Neurospora crassa OR74A: one gene and its partners. The main gene of each other region encodes a partner of the protein of the gene in region 3 in a complex. Links are inferred from orthologs where the notes say so. Each region holds a gene or a part of one and is shown on either strand. Other genes may lie near its edges.

Region 1 (3,201 bases), on a different chromosome or scaffold from region 3:
GTCGGATGCCTTGGTCATTGTAGGTGGAGAGTTTCTCACTCATGGGGAAACCCTGGGGATCTCGTCTCTCGGACTCCCTAACAACACGAGCATTCAATGGCTGAAGGGTTGGCCGACTGAAGCAAGGCTTGAAAGTCGGAGGACCCAGTTTTTCGGTGAGAAGGTTGTAGCAGCAACCCACGATTGCAACGGCGTGGATAGACGAGTTGAGGACCATGGACCGGATGCCGTAGTGAGAGAGGTTGCCACATGAGTGGATGGACACAGCCATCATGCTGAGATCATCCTCGCTGTGAGTTTCCGTGTACTCCAGCTGGGAGATCACAGGGGCCAAGTCGGCATCTCCCAACTTGGCAACGACGTACTCAATGCTGCCCTTTCCTTCCTCCCGCGCATAAGTGGCCTGAAGCTCCTTTCTCGATCGGAGATCAATGGTAGCAATATCTTCGTCTGTCACACCCAGTGCCTTTGCGGCGCGCTTCAGTGCCTCTTCATCGTTGGCTTCTGACGGATCTACACTTTCCATAATGCGGTGGTAGAGCTTCTTGTTGCGGATTCTCTTCTCCCGCTCAGCTAGACCGGACAAGATATCGAGATCCTTAGCGCCTGCTGTGTTGGCCTCCTTGCTCTCCACGGCAACAATATGCTTGTTGTACGGAGGACTCGCCAGAGCGCGGCCTAGATAATTCTGGCCACTGCCAAAGTCTACCAAGTGCGTCAGTTCCTGTCCCCTCACCCGAGCGACGTCCTCCGAGAGCCTGTCGATGTATCCGGAAAAGTGAGTGACTTCGTGAACTTTCTTGGTGTTCATTCCCAAAGCTACCTGCCGAGGAAGCACCGGTAGTTTTGGCTTGCTGGGCTGGAAGGAGCGTCGTAAAGAAAGTTTCCTGATATCCTTGACATATTGAACCAGCGTCTCGGGAGGCTGTCCCGGGCCAGTTTGCGCGGCAAGTGTGTCAAGATCATCTCTCATCAAGAAATCCAAAAGGACCATGGGCTCGGTCTGCACCAGGTACTCCTGCCATTCCTTGGGAACGGCAGAGACAAATAGGCCGGGCTCGCTGGTGAAGAAGTCAAGAATGTGGACACCACCACAGAGAAACTGGAAAAGGTGGGAATTGGTCGCAAAGTCCAGCAGACTGTCGACATATTGGTCTGCAGATGAAAAATCATCCGAGTATGGAAGAGGCTTTTCTGGCCTCGCAGTAAAGTCGATCGTCATGATGTGTATGGTGAGTGGTTGTTCATCTGCATTTTTGGCACATCGCCATGAAATTTTGGCTTTCTTTTCGCAAGACTCATACGGTAAAGTGTATGCATGAGGTACAATCGCATGTGTATAACCTTTATGGCGACAGCTGGCGGAGCATGGGATGCCAGCTGTCCCGCACCCCAAATGCTCCGCTGCGGATTTGCACCGGCCAATGCGGGCTCCCCCACGATCCGCCGCCTGCCCGGCAAGTCTGCACGCCCGGTTCCAAATCGCGGGTTGCGGGTTGCTGAGAGCTGAGAGTCGAGACTCCTCCGCGATTCCTGAACCGAGTTATGCCCATTGCGACAAGGTGACTTATCGTCGGCTAACAAGATGGTACCTACAACGGCCTCTGCGATTTCCGGGAATATTTGTCCAAAAGTTCTAACATTTTATTGCTAGGTGTTCATCCTGGGAGTCAACTTCAATGAGCACAAGCTCGTCCAGGTGCGCTCTCCTCCTCGTCCTCGTCCTCGTCCTCCTCTGCGCTCCAAGAATCACCCTGGTTAACCTTCCACTTGCGAACCACAGAAAGCTCTCGAGAGCTTCTACGGCCTAGGCCAGCAGGCCTCTGCCCGCATTCTCGCAAAGTATTCGATCCACCCGCGCGCGAAGATGGGCACCCTCCCGCCCAAGATCGTCACTGCCCTGACGGCCGAACTGTCGACCATGACAATCGAGAACGACGCCAGGAGGCTGGTGCTGGACAACATCAAGCGCCTCCGTGATATGGGTACCTACCGCGGTCGTCGCCATGCCATGGGTCTGCCCGTGCGCGGTCAGCAGACGAGGAACCAGATCGCCAACGCCAGGAAGCTCAACAAGATCGAGCGCCACGGTTGAGCGAGTCGATGACGGTAATGGTGACGGGAACCTTGGAGAATACCATGACGTCTGGATATTTCTGGAGCAATTCTGCTACGCGACATTTGCTTCGATAGCTGTCGGACCATGGGATCGAACGCATGGACAGAGAAGAAAGAGATGTGCCTGACGTGGCTCGGCTGGGTGTTGTCGAGCTTTTAGAGCAGGCAGGCAGGCAAAATCAGTGTACGATACGTCAAGCCAGAACGAAGACACGCTGGGACGCAAAAGGAATCAGGCGCGGCGTTGTAGAGCAATTCATCGGATCAAGTCAAAACACGGGCAACTTTTTGCTTATTGACTCGAATCACGACAGACATTTATGATACCCAATTCCCGAGTCTATATGCTAGCCAGATCTTGTGTCTTTATATAAGCAGCTTGCCATCTGCAGGCTCATCTTGGAGCTATCTACGCTGCCACAAAACTTTGCGGAAACACGGTAATTTTCTCTACGTGCCGCCCATTCAGATGTCTACTCCTCGGGCATCAAGTTAGGCAGATCATCCTCCAGAGCCGACTCACCAGCAGCTTGCATCGTAGCCGCCACGAGCTCAACATCCCTCCACACGCGGAGTATGTTACCGCCCACGACCTTGCTCACATCCTCATCACTAACACCCCGTCGAAGCAGCTCGGCCACCAAGTCCGGGTAGCGCGAGACATCTTCCAGTCCCTTCGGGACGACTGGAATCCCATCAAAGTCACTACCCAGACCGACATGATCATATCCAATCAGCTCGCCAATATGAATGATATGGTCAGCCACATGCTCCAGAGTCGCATTGGCCGGGTAAAAATCCGGCAGCCCATCGTCCCTGTCCGGCGCCGCCACGCACGAGATAAAGTCGGGTGAGAAGTTGACCATAACCAGCGAGTTGCGCTCCTTGACCAGACGAAGGACGTCATCCGGCACGTTGCGCGGGTGGGGGCACAGCGCGTAGGCGCTCGAGTGGCTGAAGATGACAGGGGCCCTGCTGCCATTCCAGTCCTTGCCCGAGCCACCCAAAACATCCTTCATCGTGTCGACGCTGGTGTGGGCCAGATCCACGATCATGCCGATGCGGTTCATCTCGTTGACTAGG
Region 2 (3,435 bases), on a different chromosome or scaffold from region 3:
ACCTGAGATCGCTCAGTGTGTGTTGGCCAAATTCGTCCAGTCCAACCACTTCGTCCGGGCCTGGATACTCGTAGTCATCTTCATTTTGTACAAAGGTGAACCGGGGCCTATCAGCGGGCGCATAATTATGCATGTAAGGATCGCGAATGAACTTGAGGTAGTCTTCGACCGTTCCATCTAGATCATGATAGGGATCTACCAGTTCAAGCAGCTCTTCTTTGGTGAGATGACCGAGCTTCGCACTGTGGGATTCGGGCAGCTCTTGTGATTGTGGGTTTGCGCCCGAGTGGGACTCGGTCGATAGATCGTCATGTAGCGCGGATGGGGCCGAGAAGACAGAGTCGGCGGGCTTCTGATCGGCACTGGGTTCGGGGGCAGCTGCGGCAACGGGGTCAGGGACCGGGGCTGCCGCCGCCGCCGCCGCCGCCGTGTGGCTCCGCTTTTGGGGAGCAGAGACCGAATAGCGGAAGAAGTTGGAGTCGAGTGCTCGTCTGCTGTTCGTGCCGGACAGACTGGTGGGAGTTACCCGCAGGGATGGGGTGGTCAGTAGCGGGCAACCGGTGGAGCCGCCTATGGGTCTCCTCGCGACCCCATCGACAAGGCCACCACTTTGTGAGCTCCAGCTGCCGTGGAAGCACCGTCGTTGTTGTACTGGGCCGAGGCCTGCTGTCGCAACCTGTCTTCTTCGTCCGCTGCCTTGGTCACCGAGCTGGATGGATGCTGTGGTTTGCGACACGGAACTGGTGGCAGCAATTGCGGTTGCGGAGGCGGCAATGGCAGACCAATTCCACGACGGACGATGCAAGAAGATGGTGCCGCATATCGACCCTTCAAATCGGCTGGAGACTTTCATGAGCTGCCGCCGTCCAACATGATGGCCTGCCCATTCAGCCAACCTTTTCTTGCCTGTTCCCCGCGAGTGTCGGCCGCAATTCGATGAAGAAGAGCTCAGAGAAGACGCAATCACAAGCTGCTGGCTGCTGCGCACTCGATTGGCACTCGATGCAATCGCGGTTACTGGCGAATTGGATCGTACTCAGGTCGATGTGGTCAGGGCGTCAGATTCGTGGAGGGCGGGGAAGTATGGGGAGAATGGGGAGAACTCGAGTCATGAAGTGAGGAGGGATGTGGCAGGAAACTGGGGTCGGGTGAGCGACGCGATGATTGAGAAAAAGTTGGGGTAGTGTAGTGGTGTACACTACAATACATGGACGAGGCACAGCTCCAGGTACCTTGCCGTGAGCACACCCCACCCCTGCCTCTACGAAAGAGGGGAAGCTGGAATAGGGTCCAGTCTCGGCCGGGCTCAAGACCCCCACTTCTGTTATCGATAAGCACCTAGCTAGGTACTTCCCTTCCCTTTGGTCGCTTAATGGCGGGGCGGGGAACTATTTTTTTTTTGCCGGCACGTCCTTCCAATTGCTCGCCCGCTCGCGGCAGGCAGGACAGCAGGTCGCGCGGGTTACCGGCAACAACTGAAGGTCGTGTCGGATCGTGCCTGTCTCCAAAAGGCACAGCTCCACTTTGGACAAAGCTAAGCAAATAGCGATAACGATAGGTTTGGCGGGTGAGGGAATCCATTGTGCCTACGCAGCGCAGCGCAGTGTATTATTATTACCTTACACAGGTATACACACCCCGTAACCTCGTAGCCTTGCCTTTGCCTTGGGAGGGTACCTGAGGAACGAAAGGACCGCCGAATCCGCCAATGGTCCTCTGATCTCAGCCAACACCACCGCTGCCGTCGATTATCACCAGTAATTCCCTCCACAACACCCAAACGCCGCCAGCGACGACCGGACAAGATGGGCAAGGGGCGCATCTTCCAGGCCGCAAAGGTCTACCAGAGGGCCAGCGAGGCTGCTGCCACCAACATCGTCTCTGGCCTGCCACCACGGAACCCACCACTGTGGCTCAAGGCCATCGAGTCCATCCCTCCCGCTGAGATCAACACCAGACCGTATCCGATCCAGCACTCTCCGCCGAACCCGCGAGCGCGCAAGCCACGCAACCTCTTTAGGCCCACCAAGATCGTCTATCCCGAAGATGAGTTGCGCCGCGACTTCTACCGCGACCACCCTTGGGAGTTGGCCAGGCCTAGGATGATTATCGAGTTGGATGGCAAGGACGCCCGTTTCCTTGACTGGTCCAAGGGCCTCAGGCAACGCGGCATCCCCTTGTCCGGCGAGAGGTACGTTGTTGGATGAGCGCATTGCACATGGCGCAAAAGCCCGGCGGACAGGCATGGAAATTGGATGCTAACCCGAATCGCAAACGATAGTGTCGTTCAACGTCAGCTCTGGCTTATGGAGAATCAAGGCATGACCAAGCAGGAAGCCTACGACAAGGCGCGCCACGAGTTCTACAAGTTGAGGCAGTTGGAGCAGATGGAGCGCAGGATAGCCGTCGAGGAGGCCCGCATGGTTGGTGGCTACTTTGGCAAGGACCTTCTGACGGTCGGCATGGAGCTCGAGAACAAGACGTATGAGAGTTGGAAGAAGTGGGCTACGACCGAGATCGCCCGCCAGGAATCTGCCAGGGCTTCCATGTACACCAATGTCGTCGACAACTCTGCGCTCGAGGAATCTGAGGAGGACGAGCTGCTCGCGCAGAATTAAGGCAACGAATTGGAGTAAAAGGGGAGGGACAGAGTGGTATAGCGTGGCTGATACCCATCCGTGTCGGGGAAAGACGATGCCGGCCCACTCGTGCACAAGTGTAAGAATATCACGTCTCTTTGTACATATAGAGAGGGCAAGAGACTTTGTAGAAGTACATGTGATTCAGGAGCCTGGTCGCCTATCTTCGAAGAAACCCGGCAGACACCGGCCCGATATACTGACTGCCCTTGAATATTTTCGCCAGACTCTCGTGCTGCACACCGACAACATCGGCAATGCCCGTTTTTAGAAACAACTTCCCCGTCAGACTCATCGTCTTGGACCTGGCCCAGGTCTCGATGTACACCACCTTGGCCCTGTTTTCGGGTACGAGGTAGAATATCTTGAGCAAGTGGGCCACCAAACACACAATAAAGCCGTTGGCAGGCCCATTTGTAACAATCACATGCGGGTATCTGAATCCCTTTCCATGATCCTTTGTTGACCGTGGGTTGGGCATCCGTGTGAGGGCATTGGCGGCATGAAAGGCGGATATGAGGCAGGTAAAGGGTGCCGTATAGAGCGGTTGATGGACCTTGCGCGCACGGCGGATTAAGAAGATATCAGAGGTGCCTGCTCGATCATCTTCTCCGGGATAGGCGTCCTTGATAGTCGCTTCCAGAAGGCGGGCCTTGCCGAGAGAGGAAGTGTCTCCGATGGAGATGATGTACCGCCGGTGGATGTTTGCCTGGCCGCGAAATGACTGCTTGATGGTCTCAATCATCTCAGCAGTGTGTCCACCAGAGCCAAGTATATATGTGAAGTAAATAGCAGG
Region 3 (3,983 bases):
TCTCCCCTCGAATCCTTCCAGGGTCATGCTACACTCGATGAAGCAGAGAAGGCGTTCAAGGCCCAACAAATCTCTGTGCCAGAAACCAAACCAGTTGCCCAAGTATCCGTCCAAGCTGAACCGGTTGAAGAGGATGACGACGATGATTACTGGGGCCGATACGATGCCACGCCTTCCCAAACTCCCGGTCAAGGCCGCTCTCCTGCGCCGCCGTCCTTGGGCGCCGGCCTCAACACTCAAAAACCCCATCCCTTTGAGCGTAGTCCGTCCGCCGAAGATGCGTACTTCGCCCAATACGAATCCGTACAGCCAGCCATGGACCCCCATGATCCAGACGAGGAGGCCTTCCAGGGCGGAGCTGTGGGGGGTGGTGCACCGCTTAATGGTCTCCCCCTTCGCAGGTCTCCGTCGCCAAGACAACAGGCATATGAGCCGCCTGTCATCAAGTCCGCACCAGCGCCGCCGCCATTGGGCCTAAACGGAGACGGCAACGGCGGTTACGTTCCATCCCGATCACCCTCTGATAAGTCCGGTTCTGACTCAAGTGGCCGGCGCATGTCCCAGGCGGACGAGGAGAGGATGGAAAGCCTTGCTCATCCGCGCCCAGCCAGTAGCGCCAGCTCAAACGGATCCCGCATGGTGGCCAAGCTCGAAGAAACGGCGGAAGCGCAAGATCGAGTCGAGTTTGGAGTTAAGCAGCACGTCTCAAGGACGATTCGAAGTCTATTCCAGCTGTCACGCGGCGCTGGCATCAGTCGTGAAGAGTTCGAGCGGATGGTCAGGAACGAGCTTGATGTTCTTGCGATGGTGGAGGACGACGTTTGAATGACCAGGGAAGGAAGGGAAATTGATTCAAAGGGGGTGTCGGTGTTCACTGTTTATATTCCTCATTCTGTTCGGGATACTGCATCATCGGGTCGTTTTTGGCGTCAAGTAGTACTGGTGGGGGAAGTCCGGTGAGGGCGTCCAGTTCGCCTCGTGATTATTGTTAGTTGTTCGGACTTCGAGCAACGGCGTCCACGGAATTATTTTACAATAGCGTTACAGAATATCGGTCAAAGTACGATAATGAACATAGCACATACACGAGCAAAGTAGAGAAAGATGCCCAGTATCTGTGCACCAGTACATCATCGAAACGGTTGAAGACGCAAGTCAATGTGAACGCCAAGTACGGAACTCCGGAATTGGCAAACAGCTACCCCACCAAGGACGGTAGGTACCTCTCAATAACATCCAGGGTTAGGGTCAAACCTGGCTCTTTGCGAGGACGGTGAGGCTGCCGGCCGCCAGTTCGTCCCAACGATTGGTCCCTGCTCCAATGGCCGGGTCCTTCCGCAGCGGAGCAAAAAAAGTCTCGAAAGTCGCGTCCCACTTCGACCGTCTTCCGGGGTTGAGTGCCCGTGTGTTCTGAAGTGCGTCCGCTCTGCGCCGGCAGCCCGTCCAGTCTTGAAGTTGTCTCCGTCCGTCCTCAAGGTCCGCCCCCCACACACACTGTCCACCGTCCATCTCCCCCGACCGAACGACCGGCCGACCTTCCCTTCCACCGAACCTTTCCTCCGACCCCCGGGCCGTTTTCTTGCGGAGAAAGAGACCAAAAAAAACCCCAACAGACAAAATGATCGGCTCCATGGGTCTAAGGATACCCCGTGCGACAAGCTCGCTCCTCGGCCGTGCCGTCAACGCTGTCGCCACCAACCAGTCCGCCGTCGCCGGCGCCAGCATCGCCGCTCAAAGGAGATGGCAGCACTACCTCATGCCGCTTCGCGACAACTTCGAGCAAGAGGGCATCCGCAACTTCCTCAGCCCCGGCTCCGTCAACATGGCCTATACCGAGTACCAGACCTTCATTTTGGAGAAGCTTAACGCGCTTGTAGTAGGTACGTACGGATGACACAGCAACACAGAACATACTCGTCTGGGGAATTTGGTGTCGCTGCGTTATCATGTGGCACGGCATAGCACGGCATGGCATGGATGAAGGTTACGTGCGAGGATTACTGGCTGCGAGGAATTGGTATCCTTTGGTCGAAAACGCCAAGCTGGGATGCTGTTAAGCCTGAGAGGAAGAGGAGGCATTAGCGCAGTGGTTAGGCCACAAAGGAATTGGTGGAGGAAATAGAAGGAAGGGGACTCGGATTGAAGCTCAAGCCAGAGCATGCCCTGCCTATCCGGGGGGGAAGACATGATGTCACCTATTTTGCTGCATGGGAGATATCTAACCGACAAACCACTTTGCTTACTTCTCTTTCGTCAAACAGGCACCGACTTTGAGCAAAAAGACACCAAGTCCATCGTCCTCGCCACCGCACGCGACCCCGAGCTCGCCCATGTGTTCAACCACGCCTCCATGGCGCACAACAACCACTTCTTCTTCGACCACCTGTCCCCGGTCCCCGTCAAGATGGGCGACAAGCTATTTTACCACATCAACGAGAACTTCGGCTCCGTCGACACGCTCCGCGACGAGATGATCGGCACCGCCGTCTCCATGTTCGGTCCCGGTTTCGTCTGGCTCGTCCGCACCCAGCTTCCCGGTCAGCCCGTCGCCCTCCGCGTCATGGCCACCTACTTGGCTGGTTCTCCTTACCCGGGCGCCCACTGGCGCCGCCAGGAGATGGACGCCCAGACTTCCATCGGGAGCTCCCCCCAGGGCTTGAGCAACGGCCAGCGCTTCTTCGAGCGCAGCGCAGCTGGGTTCAAGGGCAACAAGCTTGAACCTACGGCTCCCGGCGGCACTGATTTGATTCCGATCTTGTGCCTCAACACGTGGGAGTACGCGTGGCTTCGCGAATACGGAACTGGTGTGGGTGGTATGGGTGGTAAGCTGGCGTATGCGCAGAGCTGGTGGAACATGATTGATTGGGCCAAGGTCGAGGAGGAGGCCAGGCTGGAGACTAGGATCTTGACGGGCGGTGATAGCTCTGTTTAGCCTCTTGCTTCCATTCTGCGGGGGAAGAGGAGGGAGGAGTGAGGAGGAATTGAAGTAGGAAGTGAAGCGGGAGCGTGAAAGCTTAAGCCTCGACTTTTTGGTTCTGAATTACTCGCGACTACTGGTCCATCAGTCCATGCCTGCCGCCGCCATCGACAGTCCGACGGCTGTCACCTTGTCCGAGGGGTAGAAAGAGCGAGTGGAACGGGATGGAGATGGATTATTGTACGGTTGCTGCCCAAGTTACTTCTGTGACTTTGTCTGTCTATATGGAACCCGGATATATAGGGAAAAGTTGTTCTGTACGATAGGATAGCATGACGGTGAGACCGGCCGGAAAAAGAGAAAGGAAAGTAAAAACCAAGCCAGCCCCGGCAGCTGCCATCTATACTTTTACATGTGTATATTACCAATGAACCAAATGTGTGTGTGTGTGTGAAAGAGGAAAGCAGGATAACGGCAACGAAGCAACAAACGGATAGGTCAAATGCAAATTGTAAATATAGCACTTTGAAAGATGGACGCACATTGTGACATCGACATCCAACCTTCTCTGCTTACTTGACCAAACTTTTTAGTACATCTCCTAAGGACCTCATACGGACCTACATGTCCGACTACTCCTTACTCCGCATGATGTCTGCTTCCTTCACGATATCAGCTCACTAGGTAACTACCACGACACATCAGCTGTTGAAAACATACCTGACCGCTGCCAGTTGTAGCCCTTCTACCTTTGTAGTTTCAGCCTCTGATTTCTCCTCCTTCGCAAGGCCTCAGGCTCCATGCCGAGTGATCGGTGACAAACTGAATCTTGACTATTGACTGTTAGGTTATCAGATTTGCCTGGCCGAGACCTCACTGGTTCGTTTCAGCGCGGTAGCTACTAAAAGTAGGTACGTAAACCGAGCACCGGTGAAGGACGGCAGAGTGAGTGTATCGGTGTCTCGATTGCCATGCCATGCCATGCCATGTCATGTCTCGCATTGGGACTCCGTACGTTGGATCCGGTCAAAGATTTGGTTCGAACTGGCTTTACTCACTCACGGTC

Evidence for each region.
Region 1: NCU07386 (region 3) and NCU09539 share a complex: the UniProt entries of both Schizosaccharomyces pombe proteins name them as parts of the mitochondrial small ribosomal subunit. The link is inferred for Neurospora crassa OR74A from reciprocal best matches to the Schizosaccharomyces pombe genes SPOM_SPBC16A3.14 and sws2.
Region 2: NCU07386 (region 3) and NCU03343 share a complex: the UniProt entries of both Schizosaccharomyces pombe proteins name them as parts of the mitochondrial small ribosomal subunit. The link is inferred for Neurospora crassa OR74A from reciprocal best matches to the Schizosaccharomyces pombe genes SPOM_SPBC16A3.14 and rsm25.

Annotation. Positions count from the first base shown.
Region 1 is NC_026505.1:4,525,972-4,529,172, reverse strand, and holds NCU09539 (putative mitochondrial 37S ribosomal protein SWS2), read left to right. Parts: upstream 1-1,426; 5' UTR 1,427-1,585; coding exon 1,586-1,588; intron 1,589-1,654; coding exon 1,655-1,699; intron 1,700-1,783; coding exon 1,784-2,095; 3' UTR 2,096-2,559; downstream 2,560-3,201. Other genes in the region: NCU09540 (hypothetical protein), read right to left, coding at 1-1,222; NCU09538 (microsomal dipeptidase), read right to left, coding at 2,592-3,201. UniProt on the Schizosaccharomyces pombe protein: Component of the mitochondrial ribosome (mitoribosome), a dedicated translation machinery responsible for the synthesis of mitochondrial genome-encoded proteins, including at least some of the essential transmembrane subunits of the mitochondrial respiratory chain.
Region 2 is NC_026502.1:1,034,447-1,037,881, reverse strand, and holds NCU03343 (mitochondrial 37S ribosomal protein RSM25), read left to right. Parts: upstream 1-1,465; 5' UTR 1,466-1,805; coding exon 1,806-2,191; intron 2,192-2,281; coding exon 2,282-2,618; 3' UTR 2,619-2,799; downstream 2,800-3,435. Other genes in the region: NCU03342 (hypothetical protein), read right to left, coding at 1-853; NCU03344 (hypothetical protein), read right to left, coding at 2,800-3,435. UniProt on the Schizosaccharomyces pombe protein: Component of the mitochondrial ribosome (mitoribosome), a dedicated translation machinery responsible for the synthesis of mitochondrial genome-encoded proteins, including at least some of the essential transmembrane subunits of the mitochondrial respiratory chain.
Region 3 is NC_026501.1:6,129,438-6,133,420, reverse strand, and holds NCU07386 (Fe superoxide dismutase), read left to right. Parts: upstream 1-1,348; 5' UTR 1,349-1,618; coding exon 1,619-1,880; intron 1,881-2,261; coding exon 2,262-2,932; 3' UTR 2,933-3,393; downstream 3,394-3,983. Other genes in the region: NCU07385 (hypothetical protein), read left to right, coding at 1-825. UniProt on the Schizosaccharomyces pombe protein: Component of the mitochondrial ribosome (mitoribosome), a dedicated translation machinery responsible for the synthesis of mitochondrial genome-encoded proteins, including at least some of the essential transmembrane subunits of the mitochondrial respiratory chain.